Linked DNA regions of Ovis aries. The protein of the gene in region 1 interacts with the protein of each later gene in a biochemical or structural test. Links are inferred from orthologs where the notes say so. Each region holds a gene or a part of one and is shown on either strand. Other genes may lie near its edges.

Region 1 (14,962 bases):
GTTGGTGCCAAGGGGAAGGCAGTAGAGTAGAGGTCTTGAGACCCAGACATGCTTGGTGTAGCAGAGGAAAGTGGAGGGTTGAGAGGTGGGAGAAGACTGAGCAAGCAAAAAAGTCCTGAATGCGAAACTGGGGATAACGTGGGTGGGAGTGGTTTACACAGGGCCTTGTACACCACGGTAAGATTCAAAGTCCACGGCTTTCATTCTGAGATGGGAAGCCATTAGTGGATTTTAAGATAGGCAAGGAGCCAGCAAGGAGACTAAGGAGTCATTTAGAAAACAGGAGAGAAACATAAGAGAGTGGAATTCCAGCAGGCAAGAAAAGGAGCTTCAAGAGGAAGAGAGTAAGTAATCAGCTATGAGTTATCAAATGCAGCTCACAGGTGAAGTAAGATGAAGACTGCGAAATGAAAAGTGGGTTTGAGAACATGGAGGCTCCTGAGGATCCAGAGCATAAGTTTAAGTGGAGTTTGGGGATCAAGTCTGACTTTCGGGTTCAAGAATGAGTAGCAGACATGCAAGTTTTTCTGTATAGGAGTGGATCAGAGCAATGGGGTAGTATTCGGAGGGAGACACGATCAAGCTTTTTTCCCTGGAGGGCGGTTATTAAAATGTTCATAAGTAGACAAAAATGATCAAGTTGAGTGAGGAAACTCTTACAAGAGGACAATTCCAAGAGTAAAATGGAACTTGATATAAAAGTAGCCATTTTGGACTTGGATAGGAATTTGGACTGTCCATCCAGTTATGGAGGCTAGTAGTGTATTCAGATGGAGGAACATTGCTAGATGCAAGGGTGGGAGTGGGCCGGAGCTGCTACACATTTCTGATTCCTTCTATTTTCTTACAGAAACAAGAAGCAACACAGCAAAGACTCAGGATGTAATGTCAGGTTTGGAAGATGTTAAACAGCTGGGTAGGGTACACAGCTAAGAGAAATTAGCGAGAGGTGAAATTGAGCAGGGCTCAGTGAGGCTCCCTGGCATAGAGGCCTTTCTGTTCCCTATTTCTTGTAGGAGAGACTCCAGCCTCCACGACCTTCCCTGAGCTCCAAAGGGCAGATCAAGGGAGGAGCATACAAGAAACAATCTGAGGCAAGATTAAAGGGACCATCAAGATTAGGAGACCGTCCACCTGAGATGAAGGGCTTCCCAAGTGGTAAAGAACCCACCTGCCAATACAAGGAGATATGAGAGATGTGGGTTCTATCCCTGGGTTGGGAAGATTATCCAGTATTCTTGCTTGGCAAGTCCCATGGACAGAGGAGCCTGGTAGGCTCACATCCTCAACTTGTTACGCTCACATCCTAATCTTATTAGAGACCCCACCTTTAAACCACTGTTATAAAACCCCAACATCAAGTCCTCTGGGGTTGGGACACACAGTTTTTCTAGGCAGAAACCTGGTGTGTTTCCCTTTGCTTGGTGAATAAAGATATTTTCTTCTTCACCCTAAACTGTCTCCAGGATTTGATATGGCACCTGTGCAGAGACTAAGCTTTCAGTAACATAGGGGGTGAGGAATACTGGCAGCTCATTTTCCTCAAGTATACAGTGAATTGAGTAGGGTACACGGGTCAGGTAGGTAAAGTAGAGGAAGAGAGGAGTCATAACAACAGATAATGGAATCAGATTCTCTTACAGAAGTGAAATTTTTTAAAAAATGGGTTTAACGTTTGGATATGTACTTCGGTAAATAGTCGATTCTCATCATCTGAGGCAGCTGTGTCTACAGTCACTGGGAACGCTGAACTGCTCCTGGGGAAATAAACACATGGATGGGGTCCTGAGATACTCTTGACCACATTTTCGTGAACTGATTCAACTGATTTCTGTTTAGACATGTGGTGGTGGCTCCTCTATCCACGGAAATTTCCAGGCAAGAATATTGGAGTGGATGGCCATTTCCTCCTCCAGGGGACCTTCAAGACCCAGGGATTGAACCTGCATCTCCTGCCCTGCCGGTGGATTCTTTATTGCTGAGCCACCAGGGAAGCCTCTGTTTAGACATCTTATCTAATATATTGTTGATTCATCAGAACTGACCTCATCATGGGCAAGAGCACTAATGACATACCTAAATCAACCCGATGTACTACACATTTTTTCCACAAAGAACATCACAGCCGTCTTGTGCATAGGGGTACTAGATAATAGTTCAGCACGGTGTTTGGGGTGGGAGTGGAGGGGCACTTAAAACAGGAAAGTCACCAGCTAAAAGCAACAAAAAATGCTAAAAACATGACTATGTGTGTATCGTGAAAACCACATTTGTTTACACATTAGTATGTGTGTTTACACATTAGTATGATAAATGAAATAGGACTGAGTGTTGCCTTTACCCTCATCAGTGCCTATCAGGCAAGTCACATTCTCTACCATGAATGTCCAGAAATACTATGGATATTGATCTGGGTATTACAAATAAATTTTAGTGAGAAAGCGAACTCACCAATGCAGAATAACCGGTATGGACTGTACACTGCTAAAGCTGTTTCTCTCTGTAGCTCAGCCCAGTTTGCTGTTTTGATCAAAGGGCGTGTAATAGGTTCAGCAGACATCCAATCACTGAACAAGAAATTAGTAATAAATTTTGCTGCCAGCTTTCAAGCTGTTTGTGCATGAGACTTCTGTACTATTTTCTGTGCTGTTCCAACGTGATGTCTTGTTACAAAAGTGTTAAAAATTGCACTTAAAACACTCTCGTTTTTCTTTTTCTTCCATTTCAGTCACTGGCAGTTTTCCTCTTAGTTACTGACAGCATTAGAGGGCACTAAGTAGGCCTCTGCTGGTCCTCCCAAACAGCAAAAATCTGACCTTTTGACAAATAAGGCTACCTGATTAAAATAAATTTTTTCCCATCAGTTGTGATTTCTGGTCCTTTCCTCCCACATCATCCCATCTCTTGATTAGGTTAGCAATAATGTAACCGGTTAGATACCACTTAAATCAATTTTTTGATACTGATTTTTGAAGGGATCTTGTTTCTTCTGATTTGTTTCCTACCTTGCCTTTTTCTTCCATGTAAATGGCTGTATATTTAGTTTACGTTTATTACTATCCTTTGTAGTTAATGCTGCCTTACAAGAAGTTTAGAGCAGAAGAAATAAAACCACCTGAATACATCATCCTCAGGTAAAGGTTGGGCTTCTCATAGTGGTGATAGTGGTAAAGAACCTGCCTGCCAAGGCAGGAAACAGCTTCCATCCCTGGGTCAGAAAGATCCCCTGGAGAAGGGCATGGCAAGCCACTCCAGTATTCTTTCCTGGAGAATCCCATGGACAGAAGAACCTAGCGGGCTACAGTCCATGGGGTGGCAAAGAGTCTGACACAACTAAGTGACCAATACACACACCGCCACAGCTGCCACCCCCCTCCCCCTTTAACTGGGAGGTAAGCTTGGATTTTTTCACTCTTCCAATATTCCTATTCGCCACGGTGTAGTGGCAGAGTCTGACACCACTGAGCGAACAACACACACACACAGATACACTCCTTAACTGGGGGGGTGTACTTGGATTTTCCTCCTCCAAATATGCCCATGTTGCCACTGAGTCTGTAGCAGTCTATAAAATTCAATTTGCAGCAAATTTAGCGCCCCGCCCGCCCTGCCCCCGAGGCCTTTATTTGGGCTTCCCTGGTGGCTCAGTTGGTAAAGAATCCACCTGCGAAGCAGGAGACCTGAGCTCCATCCCTCGGTTAGGAAGATCCCCTGGAAAAGGAAATGACAACCTACTCCAGTATTCGTGTGCCTGGAAAACCCCATGGACAGAGGCGCCTGCTGGGCTACAGTCCATGAGGTCACAAAGAGCCGGACACGACTTAAGGACTAAATCATCACCAACACACACCAACATACACACACACGTAAAGCTTAATTGGGGAGTATACTTGGATATTTTCCCCTCTAAATATGCCACTGTGCCTGTAGCAGTCTATAAAATTCAATTTGCAGCAACTCGTTAGCACTTCCCAGGTCTTATTGGAGCTTCTCTGGTGACTCAATTGGTAAAGAATCCGCCTGCAATTCCAAGTTCAATCCCTGGGTTGGGAAGATCCCCAAGAGAAGGAAATGGCAATTCACTTCTGTATTCTTGCCTGGAAAATCCCATGGACAGAGGGGAGCCTGGTGGGCTACAGTCCAAGGGGTCGCAAAGAGTCGGCTAGGACTCTGCGACTACCACCACCACCACCAGGCCTTAGTTCACCTGCGACAAACTCCAGATGACTGGATCTGAGCGCGGACGAGCTAAAAGAGAAAAAAACGAGAAATAAAGGAGACGGTGGGGAGGGCGCGGCTGGGGTGGAAAGTATGAGTGTCTCCCTACATCAGCAGGCTCATCGGGTGTTTCAAAGCAGCGGCGCTGGCCCTTCCTCCGCGGGTCCTCACCTTGGTCTTCGAAGGCGCACGGGCTTCGGGCACAAAGCACGGTGACCCTGAACACCACCTACCCTTTTCCCGAGCTTCCGGGGATGATTTACTTCTGTGAGGCCGAAGGCCTAGTTCTGGGTCTGCCGCCGGTCTGAGGCGGGAGCGAGGCTCCGGTTCCGAGGAGAGGGCCTCGCGGGAGCTCGGGCCGCCGCGCACGCAACGAGCACCTGGGCTCACCGTCCGCCCGCCGCCCAACCACGGGCTTCCCGGCCGGAGCCCGCAGGGGCGGGGGCGGGGGCGGCGGCCGGCGCGCTCCTCCGCGCGCCCCCCGCCCCCGCGCCGCCGGGCGCACGCGCAGCAGCGCAGCCGCCCTTATTTAGTCCGCGATGGCTCCTCGCACGCCCCACCGGCCTCCTCCCATAGACGCTCCCCGCCCCGCGCGCCCCGGGGCCCCCGGGACCAGCCTCGGGCGGCTCCCCGAGCCCGACTACCCCTAAGCCGGAACGGCGGCGGCCGAAAGGGCGCGTGCGGACCGGTAGCGGCGACCGGAAAGAGCGGACGGGTCGCGAGGAGACGAGCCAGGCCGCGGAGGAAGAGGAGGGCCGCGACGAGCCGAGGTTTGCCGAAGGCGGCGTTCCGGCGCGCGCGAGGGTGGGAGAGGAGGGGCGCGGCGGAAACTGCCGAGGGTTTCCGAAGGCCGCAGCGGCCGAGTTGCCCGGATGTAGTTGGTGGAGCGGCAGCGGCGGCACCAGCGGCGGCGGCGGCGGCAGGAGGAGGAGGCGGCGAAGGACCCAGCGGCGGCGGCGGGGGGAGGAGGGGAGGAGGCGGCGGAGCGGGAGGAGGAGAAGGCGGAGGAGGCAGTCGCGCTGTCCGCGGGGCGAGCAGGACGCGTCGTGTTGCCCCCTCCCCCCCACCCCCCGGTTCGCCGCTGCCCGGCCTGAGCTGAGCGTGAGCGTGGTGCGGACTGAGGAGATGGCCCGGGAGCGCCGGCGCCAGTGACGGGGAGGTGCTGAGCGTCGCCGAGGGCGCGCCGGGCCTGCGCCGCCCGCCGCCTGCGCGCCCGCCCGCCGCCGCCGTCTCCCGCGGCCGCTCCCCCCTCCCCGACACACGCTCACAGGCCGGGCATTGATGGTAATGTATGCGAGGAAACAGCAGAGGCTCAGTGATGGGTAAATCGTCTTTTCGTTTCGAGGCGGCGGAGCGGGCGGCGGGGGGGCGCTCCTCCTCATCTGGGCCGGCCGCGCCGCCATTTTTGTTGTTAACCCTGATCCGGAGCGGCCGGGAGGGGGAGCGGCCGCGCGGGCGGCGGCGGGAGGGGGGGGAGTCGGGGGTGGACGGCCGCGGGCGGCGGCGGCCCCTCGCCGGCGGGAGCCCGTGTGAGTGCGTGTGAGCGGGTGTGAGAGCGAGAGCGTGTGCGCGCGGCGGGAGGGCGGGCTGCCTGGGGCCGGAGCGCCGCTGGGATTCGGAGCGGGGGCCTTTCTGCGGGCCCCGCGCTGGGGGCCCGTTCTCCGGCCTCAGGTGGCCTTTTCTTCTGTTTTCCAGCTGTCACGACCGGCGGGGGGACGCGCAGCCTTACCAGGTACCACGGGGCGGGCGCGGGCTGCGGGGCTGGCGGGGCCGGCGGGGGAGGGAGGAGCCGCTACTCGAGCGCAGGCTTCACAGGTCGCTGCAGGCCCTTCGGGGCCACAGACGCGAAACCCGCTTGGTGGGGCCGGAAACCCTGCGCTCGCTTCCCGGGGCGCTCGCCGGCGAGGGGTGGGGGCTTATTTTGACAGGTGACGGGAGGAAGTTCAAGTTCTTTTTGCGGGGAGGGTGGGGGGAAGGGAATAAAAACTGATTCTTGTCCAGGAAGGACCTGACTCGGTTATTCGGGTGTGCGGGACTCGGTAGGACAACGTGTTCAGTAACTCTGGAATCACCTTCATTTGTTGTTTTGGGGAAACTAAAAGTTAACGCAGAGGTATCAGAATTAGACGGAAGGGCAGGGAAGAAGCCACTGATGGGTTTGCAACTCTTTAAGTGTGTTGTAAACCATTACCCCTTCCCAGTTTGTTTTCGGTGGAAATAATTGTCTTCAGTGAAAGATGGCGCTTTTCTTTTTGTAGAAATTGAGATCTTTGAGTACTTGGGTAATTCACTGTCCTGAAAGGAGTTTTAGGTACATAGTTTTCTTTTTGTGACAGCTTCGTGTAACATTGTAAAAGTTTTTTTGAAAGAGTTGGCCCCTGTTTTCCGGGGGAGGAAAATTCATTAATTTGTAACTGTGGGGTGACTCTAGAAGTAAATACTTACTGCATCTGACCACTTAAAGGATAGGAGAGCGGGTTTCCAAGCTAACGGTTGTGTTTCTGGATAGCATGAGTTAAAGTTCCAGTTAAAAATCTAGGTTCCTTGACGGGTAAAACATTGTGCATTACATTTGGATAGGTCAACGATTAAACTGTTGAATCACACTCTAAAACATGGTTAATTATGCATTAAAAAAGACAGCTATATCATGGTTGTCTTAAATATGTTAAATGTTTTTTGAGGGAGTTCCATTAAGTTCCATTAGGATAGGTCAGAAATAAGAGCCTACATTTCTATACCTTAAAATTGTTTCCCATGCCTGCAAGAGTAGTTAAACTAGATCTGAAATGCCTTACTTACTTGAATCCAAGAATTGGAGAAATTCTGATGAGAATTCTCTGAATTCTGATGCTTTTTTTGGGTCAGATCGAAGAAACATGTTTATGCTTATTTGTATTTGTGTCTAGCATAGTTGCAGAGCAAAAACATTAGAGTAGTACTCAGTGAATACTTAAACTTTTTAACTGGCAGAAAAGTTTGAGGAGTTAATTTGTCAAAGTGTTGATTTCTTGTGTTTACAAGATGATTAATAGAAGGTTTTTTAAAAAAAACACATTTTGATATGTATGATGAGCCTTACAATAACTTGTGTTTAGGTCTTGTGTGAGTAACTTAAAGGCAGAATTCAAAAAGAAAATTTCAATTTTATAAATTTATAAAACTGAATATAGGTAATATAGCAAATTTTATGATAAAACTGACTTATGAAATTAAAGTTTGATTTCTTTTTTATTTTGGGGGGGTGATGTTTTACAGGCACTTAAGTATTCATCGAAGAGTCACCCCAGTAGTGGTGATCACAGACATGAAAAAATGCGAGACGCCGCAGATCCTTCACCACCAAACAAAATGTTGCGGAGATCTGATAGTCCTGAAAACAAATACAGTGACAGCACAGGTCACAGTAAGGCCAAAAATGTGCATATTCACAGAGTTAGAGAGAGGGATGGTGGTGAGTAGCTTTTTCTATTGAAACTTACATTTATTAATAATAATTCTATGTAAGACAAAAAGTTTTAGTCATATTTCCAGTTTGCAAATGTTACTAAATGTTTATGTCATCAGAATATTTTGATTCCTAAACAAATTATGTAGAAATAAGATGCTGACCCCAGAATCTACAGCTGGACCCCAGTGGGTGATAATTAGAGGATGCATTTATGAATGTAGCCTACCAGTGTTTTATTAATGGTGAGTGACATGCAGGACATTTCTCCAAGAAAGGAATTTTCAGCTTTTCAACTTTCCAAGATTGCAGTTTGGCTTGGTTAATTTTGAGATCCTTGTTTCTACTTCATTTTATTTTTTAAGGAGTTCAGGTGTGTGTTCTTGTGGTAAAGTATGAATTTTAAAATTTAGAAGGTTTTTTGAGACAGTTCATGGGTTAAGAAAGTCATTCATGATACAGGAAATTTTTGTTAGGTTTTTCTAAGAAAAATACTATTTCATATTTTCCAGGGTCTTATTAATGTAACTTCTGTATGTACTCAGATACTCACCTTTTAAAAAGTGCATTTCAGTGGTTTTACCCTTCAGCTATTACTTTGCTTCAAGTTTTTTGTGGTAGGAGGCTGAAAATAAATTGTTTTCAGATTTAATGTATCCAAAATTTACCAAAATAATCAGATTTCCTGTCTACATTTGGCATTCATTGAGGGACAAGCCAATTTCACTAAGTCAATTAATCATCTCTATTATTTATAAGATCTTAAATTGCATAATAGATAATGTGTTTGAAATAAGGAAACTCAGAGTCCCTCATGGCTTTCTGTCTCTTGATTTTCAACTATCTTCAAATCTTGCTTCTTCTGGTTCTCTTTTTGCCTCCTAGGATAGAAATCAGCTATATTCAGTGTGATGAGATATTGGAAAACATTGGCCTCCTCTGTATATAATTGGTGGGTTGAGGAAGTTAATAGTGGTGAGAAGATTGCATGGAAAAAAAAAAGATTGGATGGAGATGGAATATTTGGATGGTTATTGAATGGGAGGGGAGTTTAGTTCTCTGTTAAATATAGCATAGCTGTATGCTACTTACACATATAAACATATTTGTTTGGAAATAACAGCAGGTGGATTTGGTTAATAAGTTAGAATTTTGGGGGCAAATTAATATTAATCTTTGGGGTAAGTTTTGTGTAGTGTTATGTTTAGCCTGAGATTCTATTACCAGTCACTACTATAGTGGATTTCATTTCAAATGTTGGATTTTAGAAGGCAGTACTGTGACTAAATAGGATGTGGCACCTCATCTCCTTAAAGAGAATAAGTATCCCAGGTTCTCTTTTAGTGAATATGATTTGGTTAATCTGTCATCTACCCCCAGATCCAGAAAAGGGTCATTTTAGGTACTCTAGGAAACTTCTGTAAATGTTTTCATGCTTTTACAGTGAACTGTGTCTGATTAAGTTCTTTTACAGGTGAAATACTCGCAAGAACATTCTGTTGCTTAATGCTTAAATATTGAGCAAACATTGGGCGTCTACTGTGTGTCAGCAGTTGTGTGGTGTGCCTGGAAGTAATGCTGAGATGTAGTCCTGTCCTTGAAGCTGTTACTAAAAGCTCTGACTTTGGAGAGCTACTTGTTTTTAGCTGCTTGCTTTTTTTTTCTGTACTCTTTTTTTTTTTTTTTTCCCCCTTCATTTTGATTTTCATTTTCCTTCCTCTTGTTGGCTTTTAGTTTCTTTTTTATTTGCATCTGTTTGCTGATGTTTCTTTAGTTCCATTTGTAAGAAACTTATCTTTCTGATCTAGTCATTTGCTAAATTAATCCCCTTTTCTGATTTGCTTTTTAGCTATTTGCTTGTCTTCCTCTGGAGCCTTTTAACTAATACTAACTTCATCCCTGGTCTAACTTCATTCCTGGTCTGTATTATCTCTCATATACTTGGCTGCCATATTACTTTACACCATGGAGGAATAATAACAAATACTGTAAAATGCGGTCTGTATTCTTGAGTGCAGAGAGCATCTTTGATGTTAATTCTGTGTTTTAAAGATGTGAAGTGGTGACTCTTCCCTCAGTTAATTCTTAGATATTTAAGTCATTATACTTTGACTCCAGCTGTTTTTTTCTTAACAATGAGAGTTTGAAACTAACATTTTAAAGTGAATATGTGTAATTTCATTATAGATGTTTGTATTCCTTGATATTTTTATCTTTATAAATTCAATTGTATATGTAGATAGATTTTCACATAAAGATAAAAACTATTATTCAAAGTCAAATGCAAGTAAGCTGGATTCTCTGAGTACTCAGCCTGTGTGAGTAACAATATAAGAACAGGTTACTATATTATTGAACTAATATAAAATTGATTTTTATTTTAGGATTTTAAAATCTAATTTTAATAAATGCCTAACTCAAGCGTCTACATACCCCCTACCCTACCCCACACTGCCCCACCGGGCTTTACTGGCATCTGTCCACATCACAGTTGTTTTTTTTGTTCTTCTTGTCACCTTAGATTTCCTTAAAGTGTCAATTTAGAGTAATATATAAAAAGACTTTAAGACATACTAATACTGAAAGAAATCAGAAAGTAGGGATTGAGGATTGTCACTCCCTGCAGAAGATTGAAGTCTGCAGTTTAAAAGGATTTATTCCAACTAAGTTTGTACAGTTAAAGGAATTAGAGATTTTTATCCCATAGGATTTATGAAAGGGAGTTTAGATTATTTATTGTAACTAAGGGAAATGTTGTGACATAACATTACCTAAAAGTTCATTACTTGGTGGAAAATTATTTTTACATATATTGTGATCAACTTGCAAAATATAATCTTTTGTTTAAAAATAACCAAAAGCAGGAATCTAAGGTACAGTCGTTTGATTTTTTTTTTTTTTTATAGCTTAGGTTGAAATTGTACTTAATGGAATTTTTAAGCTTTTTCCATTTCATTAAAGTATGTTTTTGTTGACTAGTTCTAATGATAATTTTACCAAGTAACTTTCAGGATGATGCTGGTACCAGTGAGTTTAGGAATGAAGGGTAGCTTTATAGGAATTATGTAAATCTGTTGCACAAAAGTTCAGCCTCATGGGGGTTGTCCCATTTTTCTTATCTTCCCTCTAAGAATTAACTGTTAGAAACATCTTTTAGGGGGAGATAGCTTAGTTCAGTTGGTTAATCAAAATCGAAAAAAAATTATTCTTTACTGGTTCCCTGAATTGTGGGAATTAAGTGAATTTCTATAGCTTTTAAAGTTAGTATTCAAATATTTTTGAGTACAAAGGGAAAATTGCCTTAGTGCTTACATTTCTAAATTCTTTCTTTAAAGTTTTTCACTGCATAATGAAAGTATCCCCCCCCCCCTCCTTTTTTTGGGTCGTTTACCCATATTTGGAGAAATTGGGAAATTTAATCCAATTTTCAAATGACAGTTACTGTAACATTTGAAGGAATTGTTATTCAGTAGAAAGTATTTGGGGATAACTTGTTTTTATAGTTTTTAAAATAATTTAGTAATATTTTAGTATTCTCACATTAAATAGACTGATAATTGCATAGTATGACTTTTGTGGTTCTTTGAATAACTTTACACTGGGATAAAATGAAATATGCTTTGCATTTGTAATGTTAGAAAGTACTATAAAATTGAACAGTCTCATTTGATCCTTGCATTGACCTTGGAAGGTAGGTAGAACAGATAGTATCCCTGTTTTATAGTTTATGGATGAGGGAATATTTACTTGTGTGAAAGGAACCAATAGTAAGATTGGTCTAGAAACGGGTTTCCCAGATGGCACTAGTGGCAAAGACCCTGCCTGCCAGTGCAGGAGACATGAGAGACATGGGTTTGATCCCTGGGTTGGGAAGATCCCCTTGAGGAGGGCATGGCAAGCCATTCTTGGTATTCTTAAAGAGGTGGTTATTATGATATAATGGATTTCAGTTCACAGTCAAAACTATTTTGGTATGGTTTACTTTAAGATCTTAAATTTTAAGAAAGAAAGTAAGTGAAGTTGCTCAGTTGTGTCCACCTCTTTGCCACCCCATGGACTGTAGCCTGCTAGGCTCCTCCGTCCTTGCGATTTTCCAGGCAAGAAGACTGGAGTGGATTGCCTAAGGCAGTATTAATTGAACTGATTGAGTTATGCAAGATGTATTTAAAGTTCTTGGTGAACATGCTTAGGATTTGGGGTTCATAATTCACAGAAAATATGTATTCTAGATGGTCTTTCTGTTAAGCCTCTTTTTGTCTTATCCTTTTGTGCAGGATGGTTTGGGTTAAGTTGTTAATCATTTTGTTATGGTGCTGAAAAGAGTGGAGTTAGCAGTGAGCTGGGGGTGTCTTCATACCCCACATATGTACCTGTACTCTTCTTCTGGGACTTTATACTAAGTATTGGAGGAGGAGTTTGTCAGTCATTTCAAAACCAGTTTTTTAGGGCTTGAAAATATATCCTATGAAGAGTCTCCTTTTTATGATTTATTTGATGCATGGTAATTTTGAAAGCCATTTTATATCCGGTCTCACAACCCTTTGAATTAGGCTGATCAGGATTATTCCTGTTTTACGATGAACATATAATCCAATTATGTAGCCTACTATTAGCTATTGAAAGTAGAAGGCAAGTGTTTTTGCTGTATATAAAACCTTATCTCTACCTTACAGTTGTACTCCAACTATAACCACTTGGTTACATCTCTAATAAACCCTTCAAAAGTTGAAAATACATAAGTTGGGAATGCATTTAATACACCTAACCTACTTTAAATGTTCTGAGAACACTTACATGAGCCTGCAATTGGACAAAATTACCTAACAGGAAGCCTGCTTTATAATAAAGTATTGAATATCTCATGTAACTCTGCTGTACTGAGAGTGAAAAGCAGAATTGGCTGTAAATGTAGGAGTTGTTTCCCCTTCTAATTACGTGGCTGACTGGGACGTCCGTCTCTCTGCTGCTGCCGCCCCATCCTCGGTATATACTAGCCTGGGAAGAGAGCAGAATTCACAATTAGAAGTGCGCTTTTCACTCTGCATGCCTGTTGCTTCCACATCATCGTAAGGCCAACAGATCCTAAGTTGAACTGTGGTATATACTTAAAATTGCTATTCTCTCCTCTTACCTGGACTCTTCAACAGCCTCTTAAGTGGTGTCCTGCATCCTTTTTGCTTTGTACTGTTATTCACAGCACATAGCTGGAGTGGTCCAGATAAAATGCCAGTCAGCTTACATCACTCAAGTTCAAGACCCTCCCTTGACCCTGTTACTTACCAATGCCTGTAATAGGCTCTTTGTAAAATCTGGTGTCTGGGTGTTTGTGCTGCTCTGTCCACATTGGCCCTCAGGAAGTTTGTTCTGGTCTCAAGAGTTCTGCTCCTTGTTTCTGGGATGCTCATCTTTCTGTATGTCCACCTGATGCTGTCTCATTCCAGTAGGGGTCAGTTTCAGCACCCCCTCCCCTAGAGGCCTACTTATCCTTCTGATGACTCAAACAGCTCCCTGTCATCCTCTGTCCTGTCTGCTGCTTTGTTCTTTCCTTGCACTTAAAGTGATCTGATGTTACTTATTTCTAGTCATTCTGTTACAGCACATGTTACTGAAAGTTACCATGCCGTGCAAAATTGCACCCTGGGATTTATAGGGAAAATGTGATAGGGGCACAGTATTCAAAAACATTGTCAATGACACATTAAAACAGGAACTTTACAAATATCTTGATATAACTGTTAAATGGTTAAGGAGTAAACTAACAGTATAGTTAGTAACAGCATTTTACTTTGCTAATGACCTGAAATTAGCTTGTGGAAAGGTTGCAGTTTATGAGTTACTGTGAAATGATGGAAGGAAGGTTATCTGAAGTAACCTTCTGAAAATTGTAACCAACTGTGGGTGGATATCATTCCTAACTGGAAGAACTGGGGTAACTGGCAGGTATTTGAGGTGTGTGTCTATCCTGTGAATGCATATGTAGCTTGGTCAGCTGGGTGCAGCTGGTGTTTCTCAGCAGATGAAATTGTTTGTAGGTAAGTGGGAAATTTGTGTTATGCTCAGATAGTTTCCTGATAAATCAATAGAACTCAAACAAACTTGATTTTCCCAAAAAAAAAAAAAAAGCCATGTTATAGCAGAACTGACAGTTGCTTGTCCTCTGGAACACACCACCAGAATAGGGAGTGAGTTTCTTAATGATTTTTTTCCCCTAATATCCCAGTGGCCTAGAACAGTGCTCCACACTATGGATCTTTTTAGTAAATGGGTAGATGAAAGAATACTGGGTTTGTCATTATGATTTAAGGAAATGAAATTGCGGTTTTCTGGAACAGTGTTTCTCAAACTTGTATGTGTATACGAAACATTTGGGGATCTTGCTGAAATGCATATTTTAGTTCGACAATCTAGGGTGGGGCCCAAGGCTCTGCCTTTTTAACAAGATCCCAGATGTTGCCCGTGTTGCTGGTTGCACGTGAGTAACATGGTGCTAGAGCACACTGCCAATGGAGCTAAAACGTGAGCCACAAAGGCAAGTCAGCTGTGGAAATTTCTGGTAGCCATGTTGAAGTAAAAGTGAAGTGAGTTTTAGTATATTTTATATAATGTAATGTATATAAAATATTCATTTCAGCGCATACTTGATTTTTTAGAAACTAAAGATTTTTTACAATCCAATTTTTTGCAAAGTCTTTGAAATCTGTTGTTTTGCACTTATAGCATATTAAAGTTGGGACCAGCTACATTTCCTGTGCCTACTTGTCACATGTGGTTAGTGACTACTGAATTGGACAGCAGAGTTCTGGAGAATATGATCACTCTGTTGACATATTGTTGACATATTTAGCTTTACACATATTCCTGTTTTTCCAGAATTTTTTATCCGCTTGAGTTCTGAAATAGGACGTTTATGCAAGGCAAGGTTGGAGTTAATGGGTCCTTGGACTTGTATAGTGCTGCTTGTACTAAAATTTTTCTTTGTGTGTACAGATTTATTATAGTAAAACCAGGAAATGCAGAGGAGGGAAAATGACATTGCCTCAGATCCTATCAATTTTTATAGGACTCCTTCTTGTGCTGTAAAATACCAGAAGAATTCTATACGTAGCCTTGGTAGAGTTTCTATTAAAAATGGTTACATTTTATGGTTTTATTTGACTTGTCTTTAGTAGATTTTCTCAGTGGATTCAATACTTGGTATCGACAGTATCAGTCCGAGAGGCCTGACGAGGTAAACTTTTAGTTAGTGCTCAGAGAATGTGCATATTTACCTTTCTTCCTTAACCAGGGGGTGAAGCC
Region 2 (14,868 bases), on another chromosome or scaffold:
AACTCACTGGCCTTGGGGGACTCATTATTTTTAGTGTGGGCTTTAAGGACCTAGATCTGGGCTGCCCAATATGGCAGCCACTATCCGAATGTGGGGACTTTAATGTAAATCAAATTAAATGAACAATTCATCACCTCAGTTGCACTAGCCTTGTTTCAAGTACCTAATAGCCACATGTGGCTAGTGGCTGCCATATTGGACAGGACAGGTAGGGACTTTTCCATTACTGCAGACAGTTCTATTGGGCAATACTGAGTTGAAACACTGGTGGAATGTGACCTTCACCACACAGAGGCAGGCCAAGCAGCCTGTAAGCTGAGTAAGCCATACATTTCGCATAACCCAGCTGTATGTTACTGTGTTTATTACCTTTATTATAAGTAGTCAATAAACCCATGTTTGGCCTAGGGTGCTTAAGGGGAATGGTATGGTTGTGCTATGATAATGGTAACAGTAACAATGGAGTTGCTCACTACACAGAAATCCTTCCTCCATTACTAAGTTTAAGGGATGTCCTATTTTTATTAAGGGGAATGATTTCCCTTATAACTTCTAAGGCACAATCTTAAGTAAAATCAAACCTCAAAATCATAGTCTTACTAAGTCTATGTCTGTGTGTGTGTGTGTTTTGGAAGGGAGTATTCGGATGCAAATATTCTGCAATAGAAACATTTGTTAAACCTAGTAGTGGTTTTTATATTATTTTTCTGTACATCTTTGAAAGCTTGAAATATTTTTTTTAAAGGAGGTGTTCATTTGAAATGTTGGACAAGAATATTTAACGTTATGAAGATTGTTCATGACATGAATGAATGCAAGTTAAGAACTGTGTGCGTGGTAGTATATATAGTACAATGGTCAGAACAGCCTAAGGGTCAGTATAGGACAACAGCTGAGTGTACTCTGGAGCTAGACTACTTGGGTTTTAACCTTAATTATGCCACTTATTGGGTTTCCCTGGTGGCTCAGACAGTAAAGAATCCACCTGCCAATGTGGGAGACCCAGGTTCGATCCCTAGTTTGGAAAGATCTCCTGAAGAAGGGAATGACTATCCACTCCAGTATTCTTGCCTGGAGAATTCCAAAGACAGAGGAGCCTGGTGGGCTAGTCTGTGGGGTAACAAACAGTCGGACATGACTGAGCGACTAACACTTTTACTTTCATGGCACTTATTAGCAATGAGACATTGAGCAAGTTACTTAACTTCTCTGTGCCTCAGTTTCTTCATCTGTAATATAAAAAAGATAACAGCAGTACCTAGCTCATAAGGACGCTGTAAGGATTAGCTAAATAAATGTGGAGAGCCTGGCGCACAGTAGACACTCAGTGTTAATAGCTATTACGATAAGGCTGAGAACGATACAATCTTGGCTTCTTAAAAAAAGGATATCCTCTCTCCACATCTTTTTTTTTTTTTTTTTAAGAAATAAAGGACTTGAACAGTCCATCAAAAATGTTAACAACTGAGAAGTCTAGTTGATAACAGACTTAATTTTCTTCCTTTAAATATTAATTTTTATTGGAGCAGAATTGCTTTACAATGTTGTGTTAGTTTCTACGGTACAGCAAAATGAATCAGATATACATATTCATCCTCTCCCTTTTGGACTTCCTTCCCATTCAGGTCCCCCACAATGCATTACATAGAGTTCCCTGTAATTTTCTTCTTTTTTACTTATTTACTAGACATTCTATGTCAAGTGATTCTTTTTGGACTGAAAACAATAGAAACCAAGACACAAAATCTTGGCTTTGAAATCTTCCCTCAAAGTGCCCTGCAGTCAGGTAAGCAGTGATTTTCCAAGTGTGATCTTGGAGTACCATCAGCAGTACCAGAGAACTTGCTAGAAATGTAAATTCTCAAGTTCCAGCCCAGATGTATTCATTTTGGAGTAGAGCCCAGCAATTCATATGTTAGCTTTATATTCTATTCTGAAGCTCGCTAAAAGTTTGAGAATGACTGTGCTAAGGCATAACGTGTGGCTCTATGTTTGACCTCTCCCATGTTCACATAGTGATAAGTTCTGCCAATCACTCTTCCTCAAATATTCTGCAGCTCTTGTGTACAATGTCTACCCTTGGACATATCTTCTTTGTGAGCCTCTTGAGAGCTACTGCTTCTACGGATCCTCAGTGACTGCCCAGTGATAGAAAATGCAAATGCTTCCTGGAGCCAGGCAGGTAATTTGTCTCAAGAGGGCCTGGTGCATGACCTTAAAGAGTGAAGTGCTGGCCACTGCCCAAACATGTCCACATTTTTTGCAAAGTTAAACTGCCTCTGGCTGAACAAAAACACATCTAAGCCAAGTTTGGCTCCTGGCCACCGTTTGCACTCTGCGTCTTGGCGAATTCTCTCTCAGATCACTAAGCAGCTATGATGCAGTGGAAAGACTGAGTGCTGAACAAGGAAGAAAACCTTGATTTGAAGCCCAGCTCTGCTAACTGCTAGCTGGGTGGTAATAACGAAAATAATGTTAACTTCTCAGCTTTAAGTCTTCTCATCTGTATAATAAAGACAACCTTACTTACTTCATAGGACTGTTTTAAAGATTAAAATACTTAAAATGCCTGCCCTATAATAAGTCCTCAGTAAATTTTTCATAGCACTTGTGATTTAAAAAAAATATATAATTGATTTGCAATATTGTGCCAATTTGCTGTATAGCAAAGTAAATCAGTTATACTATTTTGATTATATTCTTTATTCTGCTTGTATTTATGAACAATTTAGTTTAGCCTGCTTATTCTCAACGGACAAGCTTGAGCAAACTCTGGGAGATGGTGAAGGGCAGGGAAGCCTGGCGTACTGCAGTTCATGGGGTTACAAAGAGTCAGACATGATTTAGCAGCTGAACAACAATTCATTCTATTGGGGAAGCCCATGGCTCAGCAGTAAAGAATTCACCTGCTACTGCAGGAGATGTGGTTTGATCCTGGGGCCTGGAAGATCCTCTGGAGAAGGAGATGGCAACCCACTCCAGTATTCTTGCCTGGGAAGTCCCATGGACAGAGGAGCCTGGTGGGCTACAGTCCATGGGGTAACAAAGAGTTAGACACGACTTAGCAATTAAACAATAACATTCATTCTACTAGACTTTGAGTTTCTTTGGGATGTTTCTTTGGGACAGGGATTAACTTCTGCAATCTTCTCCGTTTAAGTTCCTATAATACCTACTTCAGTAATTTAAGTCCCTCTCACATCCACCCCAACGAAAGCTTGTCAATGTCCAGGGTAGGTATCTGAAGTGACATAGTCAATTCTCAGTAGAGATGTATCTTTCATAGGCAAAAACATGAGGCCCACTTCTAATCATCCCCAAAGTTATGCTTCCCTTCTTTTTTCCACATAAAAGAGAACAAACAATGATGATTGTTCCATTGTCAAGTGGAGGCCTCTTGCTCCTTACATTTACCAGGTTTGTTAAAAGCAATACAGAAAGTTTAGACGAGCCATACTAGAAATTATGAAAAGAAAAAAAAAAGAGGGTTTCAGTTTTAATTTTGACAATTCAGATATAAGTGATGCTGGGATGATGTTGGTAGAAGAGGTGGGTATTAGAACAGCTAACATTAGGTGCCCAGCTCATTTTTCCCATCTGGAATACTGAGGCAAGAATAAAGAACTATTATGCATCCTATAAAGCAGGTTATTACATAATTTAGATCATGGCATTAGGGGACGTGGAAGGACACACGTGTATTGCCTGCATATAAGCAGGTTAAGGGCTTTCTGAACTCCTATGATTTTATGTTTTGTCTTAACAATCTTACTTTATAGGTATCCATGCCTAAGTGCCTGTAAAGAATTCATATATTGGATTTGGCCTGGTTAATATAATTTAATACAAAACATATAATAATTTTAATATATTATTTGTTAGCTTTCTTACCTTCTGAACTTTGCATCTATAGATTCATTAAATAAATGACTTTCAGGTTAAATGATCTCATTTTAGAATTGTTTGAAAATTTACCTCCTCTCCCTCCCATTAACTATGCTTTAATCCAGGGTATTTCTATTTTTTTCTTTCAAAATTATAACCCTTAAATGTAGGACAACTACGGTAACAAATGGGTTTAGATATCAAATTTAGTTTTGGAAGTTTGTTTCTAACTAATCTAGGTTCCATATGGATAAAGAAACTCTGGACCAGTCAAATGGATTATGATTGACAAGCCAGTCTTCAGTAGGAAAGAAGTAGTTATTTTGTGAAGGCACAAATTAGAATGAAATATTCAGATGCAATTTTTAAAACTTTCATTTCACTGTTCATATCATCAACAAGGAAAATGTGACTTGGTGATGCTGACATGAAAGTACACGACAATGTTAGAACTGCACACTGGCATTATCTTTCTTGTTCACCTAAGCTTTCATCACGTTGTTGCTGTTCAGTTGCTAAGTCATGTCTGACTCCTTGTGACCCCATGAACTGCAGCAGGCCAGGCTTCCCTGGCCTCCAGTATCTCCTGAAGTTTGCTCAAACTCACATCCATTGAGTCAGTGATGATATCCAACCATCTCATCCTCTGTTGTCCCCTTTTCCTCTTGCCCTCAATCTTTCCTGGCATCAGGGTATTTTCTAATGAGCTGGCTCTTTGCATCAGGTGGCCCAAGTATTGGAGCTTCACCATTGATCATAAGAAAAATATAATTTCACCACAGGTGTAACTTCTCTGTCAAGGTATAAAATAATTTGCATTTAAAAGGCATATCTAGTTTCTCACCTTAGAACTAAAAATCAGTTCCAAGACCTTTTGTGTAGTGTACCACCAAATACTGTTAAAATAGTTTCCTGCATTAATCAATTATGAAAAACTTTATTGAAGATTATTCCCTTCAAGTTAAGTAACATTATTTCTCTTATACACAGATACCATTATTTTTGCACAGGCCAGGTAGAATTGAGCAAGAAAATAATTAACATTTAAAGGATTCCTAAAATGCATTTCTTTAGAAGAAAATTGTAGATAATTAGTGAAAGTCAGTACTAATACCTTTTAGGAATGTCTAGTTTATAGACAATTCATTTCAGAGCATCAAATTTTATTTATTCAGAAAAACCTAATGTGGTAAATATAGCCTTGGCAGCTACAGAAAATGGGAATGGGGTCATGGACTGTATTGATGTATCTATTTTGTGCCAAATGTTTCAGAAGTTTTGAGGTGGTGCACTTATCTAAGGTTTCAGAAAGCAAGAGTTTCCAGAACGATAAGAGAAAGGGGCTGACTGTACAATATTCAAAAAAATACTAGCTTTCAATTAATATATGAATGTGTTTTGCATGAGGAGACAGTTTCCTAGCACACAGTAAACATCCTTACAGCCCCTTGAGTCACTAAGAGCAGAGCCTGAGGCCTAACAAAAGGTCTGGGGTTAAAAGTTTCTTTTTTCTCTTGTAAGAAGTGGAGGGGGCTTCAGGATTGGGAACTCGTGTACACCCGTGGCGGATTCATGTCGATGTATGGCAAAACCAATACAGTATTGTAAAGTAAAATAAAGTTAAAAAAAAAAAAAAAGCACTCTCTGGATCTGAGAGATCCTGGTGATTTGACTTTGGACAAGTAATTTAATTCCTTCTAGTCTGTTTCTGTAAATGGAGTCAACAATACCTGGTAGAGGAGTTACAGGAGTGTGGGTGGGATGATCCGTGTGATCATGTTATGTAAACTATAAACCATAAGCGACTAAAAGTTAGTTACTATTTTGTACAAGACTGGCCTAACCTTTCCTGCCTATGTTCCTTGTCTGTAAAATGGGTACAGACCAAGGCCTGAGAGCTCCTGAACTTGAGCAAGTCATTTCCTTTTCGGAAGTGTTTCCTAGCAAGGTTGCCCAAGTATTGGAGCAACATTATGAAGATCAAATGTTATCGTGTATGTAAATGCTATGACAAACATATACCAAGAACGTAATAAATGATAGCCGTTATTACTCTCTGAGGGTAAGGAGCAAACAAAACTACTTAAAAGACTTTGGATATGTACTTAAATTCTGTACACATCCAAGGTATTTTTATTTGCACTGTAAACTGCAAAGACGTACATGGAACGAGGAAACAAATGGCGCCTGTGCTTCCCAATGGCGGGGGAGGGAAGGCAGTAAAGGGGACTCAATAGCCTCAGCGGCTTGTAATAGAGGCGGGAATAAGAAGAAAGGAGTGTGACAGAAAAAAAATTAAGTAACACTCCGAGAATCAATTCACCATTCTCCGCCTTTTTCTCTCATGACCTCCAGCCTTGATTAGACCATTTCACTCAGCTTCCCAGCCCGCCATGTCGCTGGACATATATTTACTGTACCTTCTTCACTGAGAGCCTTTCATTCCCCTCCCCTTCTAGCAGTCGTGAACTTCAGACCCTCTGCTTCCGACACCCATTCCCTTTAACTCTGTTTTTAACCAAGCTTCCCTGCATCCTTCCCTCCGCCTAAGGGGGAAGTGAGCTTGGTCGCACCGCAGGGCATCCTAGGAAATGTGGTCTCTCATACTCATTTCGCTTGGGCCTTAGAATGGGGACGACGACAAAAGAGATTGAGCTAGAACTACAACTACCGGAAGACAACGTGAGTGAGTCTCTTCCTGTCTGCCCCCATTCCTATTACTTTCCTCTTCCTCCTCTCTCCGGGCACCGAACCGCTTTGCCTCACGGTACTTGTAGTTCTTTGTGGACCCAAGCTCCTAGTACTTGACGGCCAGGCGAAAGGCTGAAAGACTCTAATTCCCAGAGGGCAGAGTGAAAGCTGCGCCTGCGCAGTCTCAGGGAGGGCGTGTATGTCTGTGTGTCTGAGGGAGAGAGAGCGAGAGTGAGTGAGTGTGAGTGCGGGGTAGGGTGGTGGCCGTTACGTTCGGGGCAACGGCTACGGCAGTGGAGAAGTAAGAAGAGAAACAACGTCCGGCGCTTCCGCCTTCGCTTAGGAGGAGGAGGAGCTGGTAGGGAAAGGAAAGTGATTCGCCCTGGGCCTGGACGAGACCGAGTCGGGCCGGCGGGGGTCTGGGCTATGAGCCTTTGAGGGTCGCTTGGGACGCGGAGCGAGACTCGAGAGCCGAGAGCTATGTCTCAGCCGCCGCCGCCGCCTCCGCTGCCGCCGCCGCCGCCTCCCCCAGAGGCTCCGCAGACTCCGCCGTCTCTGGCAGCGGCGGCGGCGGCGACTCCGGGGGGGCTCTCAAAGCGGAGAGACCGGAGAATCCTTTCCGGGAGCTGCCCGGATCCGAAGTGCCAGGCGCGTCTGTTCTTCCCGGCCTCCGGTTCCGTCAGCATCGAGTGTACCGAGTGCGGACAGCGGCACGAGCAGCAACAGCTGCTGGGGGTGGAGGAGGTGACCGACCCGGACGTAGTGCTTCACAACCTGCTGCGGAACGCGCTGCTCGGGGTGACGGGGGCACCCAAGAAGAACACGGAACTGGTAAAGGTGATGGGCCTTTCAAACTACCACTGCAAACTGCTGTCGCCCATATTAGCTCGCTACGGAATGGACAAACAGACTGGCCGGGCTAAGTTGCTCCGGGACATGAACCAGGGCGAGCTGTTCGATTGCGCTTTGCTGGGTGACCGCGCCTTCCTCATCGAACCGGAGCATGTCAACACGGTGGGCTACGGCAAGGACCGCTCCGGAAGCCTCCTGTATTTGCATGACACCCTCGAGGACATCAAGCGGGCCAATAAAAGTCAGGAATGCCTCATTCCCGTGCATGTGGACGGGGACGGGCACTGCCTGGTGCATGCTGTGTCCCGGGCCCTAGTGGGCCGGGAGCTCTTCTGGCATGCCTTGAGAGAGAATCTTAAACAGCACTTCCAGCAGCACTTGGCCCGGTATCAAGCGCTGTTCCATGACTTCATTGATGCTGCTGAGTGGGAGGACATTATCAACGAGTGTGACCCTCTGTTTGTACCGCCTGAGGGGGTTCCCTTGGGTCTGCGGAACATCCACATATTTGGCCTCGCCAATGTGCTTCATCGCCCTATTATTTTGTTAGATTCGCTCAGTGGCATGAGAAGCTCTGGTGATTATTCAGCCACCTTTCTGCCAGGGCTCATCCCTGCAGAGAAGTGCACCGGCAGAGATGGTCATTTGAACAAACCAATCTGTATCGCTTGGAGTAGCTCTGGTAGAAACCATTATATCCCGTTGGTAGGCATAAAAGGGGCTGCTTTGCCTAAACTGCCTATGAATTTGCTTCCTAAAGCATGGGGTGTGCCTCAGGACCTCATTAAGAAGTACATCAAACTTGAGGAGGATGGTGGTTGCGTTATTGGAGGAGACAGAAGTTTGCAGGATAAATACTTACTTCGGCTTGTTGCTGCTATGGAAGAAGTCTTTATGGACAAGCACGGTATCCATCCTAGTTTGGTGGCTGATGTCCATCAGTATTTCTACAGGAGGACCGGGGTGATAGGAGTTCAGCCTGAAGAAGTCACAGCAGCTGCTAAAAAAGCAGTAATGGATAATCGCCTTCACAAATGTTTGCTCTGTGGTGCCCTTTCTGAACTTCATGTTCCTCCAGAGTGGTTGGCTCCGGGAGGGAAACTGTATAACTTGGCAAAAAGTACTCATGGACAGCTGAGGCCTGACAAAAATTATAGCTTTCCCTTGAACAATTTGGTTTGCTCATATGATTCAGTGAGAGATGTCCTGGTACCAGACTACGGCTTGAGTAACCTTACAGCTTGTAATTGGTGCCATGGCACATCTGTGCGAAGAGTTAGAGGAGATGGGTCTATTGTTTATTTGGATGGGGACAGAACTAATTCCAGGTCCACTGGTGGCAAATGTGGTTGTGGATTCAAACATTTTTGGGATGGGAAAGAGTATGACAATCTACCAGAAGCTTTTCCTATTACTTTGGAATGGGGTGGAAGAGTGGTCCGAGAAACAGTGTATTGGTTCCAGTATGAAAGTGATGCATCTTTGAATAGCAATGTGTATGACGTTGCGATGAAACTTGTTACCAAGCACTTTCCAGGTGAATTCGGGAGTGAAATCTTAGTTCAGAAAGTTGTCCACACTATATTGCATCAGACTGCCAAAAAGAATCCTGATGATTATACTCCTGTAAATATAGATGGTGCTCATGCCCAAAGATTTGGAGATGTACAAGGACAAGAGTCGGAGTCCCCGCTCCCAACTAAAATTATTCTTACTGGACAGAAAGCAAAAACTTTGCACAAGGAGGAGTTAAACATGAGTAAAACTGAAAGAACTATTCAACAGAATATTGCGGAACAGGCTTCTGTAATGCAGAAACGGAAAACAGAGAAGTTAAAACAAGAACAGAAGGGGCAGCCCAGGACTGTTTCTCCCAGTACTGTTCGTGATGGCCCATCCTCTGCACCTGCCACCCCTACCAAGGCTCCCTATTCGCCAACCACTTCTAAGGAGAAAAAGATCCGAATCACAACTAATGACGGACGGCAGTCCATGGTTACACTTAAGTCTTCAACAACCTTTTTTGAACTTCAGGAAAGCATAGCCAGAGAATTCAACATTCCGCCATATTTACAGTGTATTCGATACGGCTTTCCTCCTAAAGAGTTAATGCCACCCCAGGCAGGAATGGAAAAGGAGCCAGTTCCTTTACAGCATGGTGACAGAATCACAATCGAGATTCTGAAAAGTAAAGCCGAAGGGGGTCAGTCTGCTGCTGCCCACTCGGCCCACACTGTGAAACCAGAAGATAGTGCTGTCGCCGGCAGGCTGCCATCTAAGGAGCTTCAGGAGCAAGCTGACAAAGAAATGTACTCCTTGTGTCTTTTAGCAACGTTAATGGGTAAGATCAGCTTAACTCAGATGGTGTTTCATAACTGTGAATGTAATATACTGAGTTTTTCTCATGTCTTTGTGGAAAAAAATCTGGTCAGTGTAAAAACATTATATATTTTAGAAGAAAATTCTTTTGTTTCGTTTTTTGACAGTGGATAGATGTTAGTGTGATTCTCTGTTGAGTAAATACTGGGAAAACATAACTAAGAAAGTGAAAGTAGTCCCTTACTGTCACCAGATTATTTAAGTATAATGTATTGCTTGTTATTTTTAAAAAATCGTAGTGTAATAACTCCATTTACAGCCTTTTCCATTTTTTACCCCTTTGGCTCTTTCGAGTGTGCACACCTTGTCCCTTGTCATTTATTTTTAAATTTCATTTTCCTGTATGTCATGTGATTTCAGGACTTCCTGTTTGATGAATTGCAGTTTCTGGGTTACATGCTCATTGCACTCCCACCTAATAATTTCTTATCCATTTCCTGTTCTCCCTTTCCCAATCCATCAGCTTTTTCTTATTTGTACATCAGGATTTGTGTTTTAAGTAATTTGCTCGGTGACTCTTTGCCATCAGTTATAATGAACTATTATATTATAACTGATGAAAAACATAATCAACAGAGGTAGATGTTAATGGGATTCCTTAAGAAGCATTTCTTTTTAATAATTCAACATAAAGAAAAATATATTGTCAACCAAATAGGTGATTTAAAGCTTTAAATGATTTGGGAAATGATCCAATGGTGTACTTTTTACATTATTTTTATTGGCTAATCTGTTTTTAAATTACTGTTAGTATGTTTTATTGAGGCTTAAAGTAGAAGTAAAACTGAAATATATTACATATTAGAGGGGCCTTATTTTTGCTGAGATGATATCTTTCAAGTAAAAAAGTGATCTGGGTTTTTTTTTGTCTTTTCTGAGTACTAAATATCAGTGAATTGGGCCTTGACCTTCCAAAATGAAGATAATTTATTTCTGGCTTAAGTTTGGGGGCCTAGTTAATAGGGAATCTATTAATAGGGGATCTATCTATGCCAGTTTATAGCTTAATATTGCTGACTTTATTTTATCAGACGTAATTATTGAATTGGGGGATATGTCAAGAAATGTACTTACTAGGGGCACTTTACGTTTTTCTGTCTTTTAAGAGTTTTTAGTTTCTTGGAGACTGTGTGGAGTAAAGGAAAAGACTGATTTCTGGAGTCACAAAGTCCTACAATTTGAATTCTGGCTTCAGTACTTATTAACTTAGTGGTTTTAGGCAAGCTGCTTAACTGCTCAGGCCTTCAGTTGCTTCCTATAGGCAGGATTACCTCTTGTAGTTGATACTTAGGTAACAGTTATGTACTCCCAGAACTCTGTAAATTAAATAATACCAGCACAGAATGGGTAAACTTAGATGTATGCTGAAGGCACGTTTTTAAAAAACCAGTAATCTCCAGGTCATAGATTGGTCAGGAAGAGAGGTCTTTCTCAATAGAAGAGGATGTGGCTCATATCCAGCCTTGGATACTCAGCACCTTGTATAGTGCCCGGCAGGTAGTAGGCACTTTGGAAGTTTTTTTGATTGAATTAAATAGATGACATTAACATAGCTAAAGAAAGGCTATGTCAGCAGAAATGGAATGGATGGTCAGCATTGAACATTGAAAAACAGTTGAAAAGCAGAATTTGGCACTGTTTATACAGTGCTGTACAAAGGAGAAAGATGTGTCAACTGGGGCTCATGAAAATTCTGGTAACTGAAAGGTAATCTCTTTTGAGGGACAGGACTGTTTGATCAGTCCTCACCGTGGCCTGGCTGAAAAATCTGTATCCCTTTACCGATTCCATAGTCATCAACTTCTAGTCTAATCACTCATTTAACTTCTGATTGTAAGTATTGATGTGGAGGTGACAGTGAGGTGAGGCTTATATTCATTTGGAGGTTGTGTTCTCCATGGAGATTAAAAATGCAGTGGCACCGGTGAGATTATGATCAGTAGTCTAAAATTCTGGCCAGCATAATAATATATTACTATTTCATAATGAAAATCAGTAAAATATAATTCTTGTTTACAGTTAGTCACTTTTTGAGTTTGACTTGAGGTTTCTGGACCTTAGTGTCTGAGTACTGGACTGTGGACTGCGAGGAATTTACTAAGATGATGTCTTCTTGTTAATGATCTCTTCTCTTTCCACCTCTGGCATTTATGTTGCTGCCCTTAAAAACCCACACATTTCATTAACTCTCCCATTTCTACTCCTGACACAGAATTTAAGCGTAATGCTTTGCTAATTTCATGGTGGTATTACTTGACTTTCTGCTTTAAAATACAAAAACAGTGCCTGGCCCGTATATTAGTCCCTCTGTAAGGATTAGTTTTCTACCTCTAATTCTCTCATAACTCTATTTGAATTATGTAGAAGATACTCTCTTTATTTGGCCATGCTGTGGGGCTTGTGGAATCTTAGTTCCCCAACCAGGGATTGAATTTATGCCCTCGGCAGTGGAAGCATGGAGTCCTAACCACATTACTGCCAGGGAATTCCTGGGAAGATTTTCTTAAAAGTGTTATGTTTGTAAAAAATCTCAGTATGGGGATAGCTAAGTAAGTACACACAACCTTATGTGAATGAGTGCTGGCAACTCTTGATGTTTAGATTGGAGAGGGCTGGAAAATGGGAAATGACAGGGTTTACTAAGAAAATTGTAAATTTCAAAGTGCAGAAATTGTGAATTACTGTGTGTTAGTTTAGCAAATAGCTCATCAAGCTTTCTGCTGTTCAAATAGCTGGCTCCTTCTCATTTAGCTTAGGGTTTGATACCACTTTGTTACAAGAGGTTTCCTCCTGACCACCTTACCCAGGGGTAAGGGTTTCAGAGACCTTTGCTAAGCCACTCCAAGTAGGTTCCCTCTGTTATGGCACCCTGTTCATCTCCCTCATAGCACCTGTTACAAGTTTTCCTGATTTTATATGTTGGTTTACTTACTACCTTATCACCTAGTACTGGCCCTCACACTTACTAGGTGCTAAGTACATGCTTGTTGAATGAATGAATGCCGATTCTTTCAGCAAAATGTTTGCTATGAGCTAGAGACTGTGCTGTAGATACAAAGATAAATCACACATGATCCTTGCCTTCCGTAAATTTACCTGTAGGGTCTCAACTGAGGACTTCCCATACTTTTATAGCTTTGATTTATAATTTTTATATATAGAGAAAAAGGAAGCTGGAGACCTGTTGATAAAAGCTATAAAGATATAAGATATCTATGTATATATGTGTGTATAATGATTGTGTATCCTCATTAAATAGGCTGACTTCTTGATAGCCAGAGACATGGGGTTTCTCTATTGTTTTTTTAAGTAGGATATTTATTAAATAGAATTTATATCTATTATTTGTATAAAAACAGTAAGTGAGTGCATCAGTCTTTTGCTCAGTTCATGGAACTTGTCACTTTGAATCTAATGATTAACGTTAGTTAAAAAAGGAATAACAGTGTTCTTACCTGTAATATTTCACAGATTTTAATCTTCTTTATCCAGACCACTTGGATGTTATTAAACAGTTTTTTACACTGTTCTCTTCATTATTTATACAATATGTGAGTGACTCTAACGCTGGCTTTTCAAAATATGTAATTAAATTTTCTTACAGGCCAGCTTTTTGTGGTAGATATGATAGACAGTACATTATCCACTGTAAATACTAGGCTAATTTCTTTTTTTTAGTATTATATTCCACAAAACTTTTCATTAATTTTCTTTTTCAAGAGATAAAGACAGATTTGTGAAAAACAGTTGGTCAGTTTTATGGGAGTTTTATACATACGTTGTCAGAGTTGCTTTGATGGAATTAAGCTACTTGTTATATGTACTCCACTTTACTGCGAAGATTAGCATCCTTTCAGGAGTTGAGAAACTACTTTCTATCTTCCTGAAAGAATGGCATGAGTTTTTAATATACAAGTTTAAATTACACAGCTTCTTTTTTTTTAACACAGTTTTTCATAATTTCATAGTACTTCTTGATGTGGTAGCTGCCTTGGGTATTTTCAGAATCGCATCTGGTATTCAGGCACTTATTTTTAAGATGACTTGGAGTCTGAATATCATTATTGCTTCTTGAATTTTTTCTTCAAATATTGGGTGAAGGACACTTTCAAATCTAGATATTACTTAATGCATCTATTATTCTTAACATACTATCAGATAACTTTTCTAATTGATTTATAAACAGCATATTTCTAATGGGGGAACAGTTATAAAATTGAATAAAAGGAATGCATATAGATGTATCTTAAGGTAAATATGTATATTATAAATGGTGATTTTTATAATTAATTTGAAGATTAAGTTAAACATGATTCTATTTTTTTTTCTTCATATTTTTTCAATTATAAGATAATATTACTTTTAAAAATTCAAAGAACTCATTTATGTAGGGAGTAGAATACAATAGTTCTCTTACTCCCCAGAGACTCAGACTCTGTATGTTTGTGCACACGTTTCCACACAGTTAGGTTTGTGTGCATGTATGTGTGTGATAAATATATCTTTTAATGCTGATGATTACACTGAGACATGCATAAGGGACTGAATACAAGGAGAGAAACAAGCATGCCTTTCTTAGAAATGGTTTTGACAGTTGGTAAGGTAGATGGTGGGCGGTAAAGCATCTGCTTATGCGAGAGACCCAGGTTCGATCCCTGGGTCGGGAAGATCCTCTAGAGAAGGAAATGGTAACCCCCTCCAGTATTCTTGCCTGGAAAATCCCATGGATGGCGGAGCCTGGTTGGCTATAGTCCATGGGGCTGCAAAGAGTGGGACAGGACTGAGCAACTTCACTTCCACTTTTCTTTCAGTAAGTAAAGTCACTCAGTCGTGTCCAACTCTTTGTGACCCCATGGACTACAGCCCCCAGGCTCCTCAATCCATGGGATTCTCCAGGCAAGAATACTGGAGTGGGTTGCCATTTCCTTCTCCAGGGGATCTTCCTGACCCAGGGATTGAACCCGGGTCTCCCGCATTGGAGGCAGACACTTTAACCTCTGAGCCACCAAGGTAGAGACAATTTTAGATGGCAGAATCTGCAGGAAGGGTAGAGAGATGGCA

Evidence for each region.
Region 2: the proteins of WAC (region 1) and VCPIP1 form a complex in vitro, tested with the Homo sapiens proteins (2 studies listed by BioGRID). The link is inferred for Ovis aries from reciprocal best matches to the Homo sapiens genes WAC and VCPIP1.

What each region holds. Positions count from the first base shown.
Region 1 is NC_056066.1:35,536,960-35,551,921, reverse strand, and holds the start of WAC (WW domain-containing adapter protein with coiled-coil), read left to right. Parts: upstream 1-5,079; 5' UTR 5,080-5,499; coding exon 5,500-5,540; intron 5,541-5,625; exon of another isoform or gene 5,626-5,747; intron 5,748-5,913; coding exon 5,914-5,951; intron 5,952-7,459; coding exon 7,460-7,672; intron 7,673-14,962.
Region 2 is NC_056062.1:43,849,641-43,864,508, reverse strand, and holds the start of VCPIP1 (deubiquitinating protein VCPIP1), read left to right. Parts: upstream 1-6,813; 5' UTR 6,814-7,056; coding exon 7,057-9,769; intron 9,770-14,868. UniProt on the Homo sapiens protein: Deubiquitinating enzyme involved in DNA repair and reassembly of the Golgi apparatus and the endoplasmic reticulum following mitosis. Necessary for VCP-mediated reassembly of Golgi stacks after mitosis.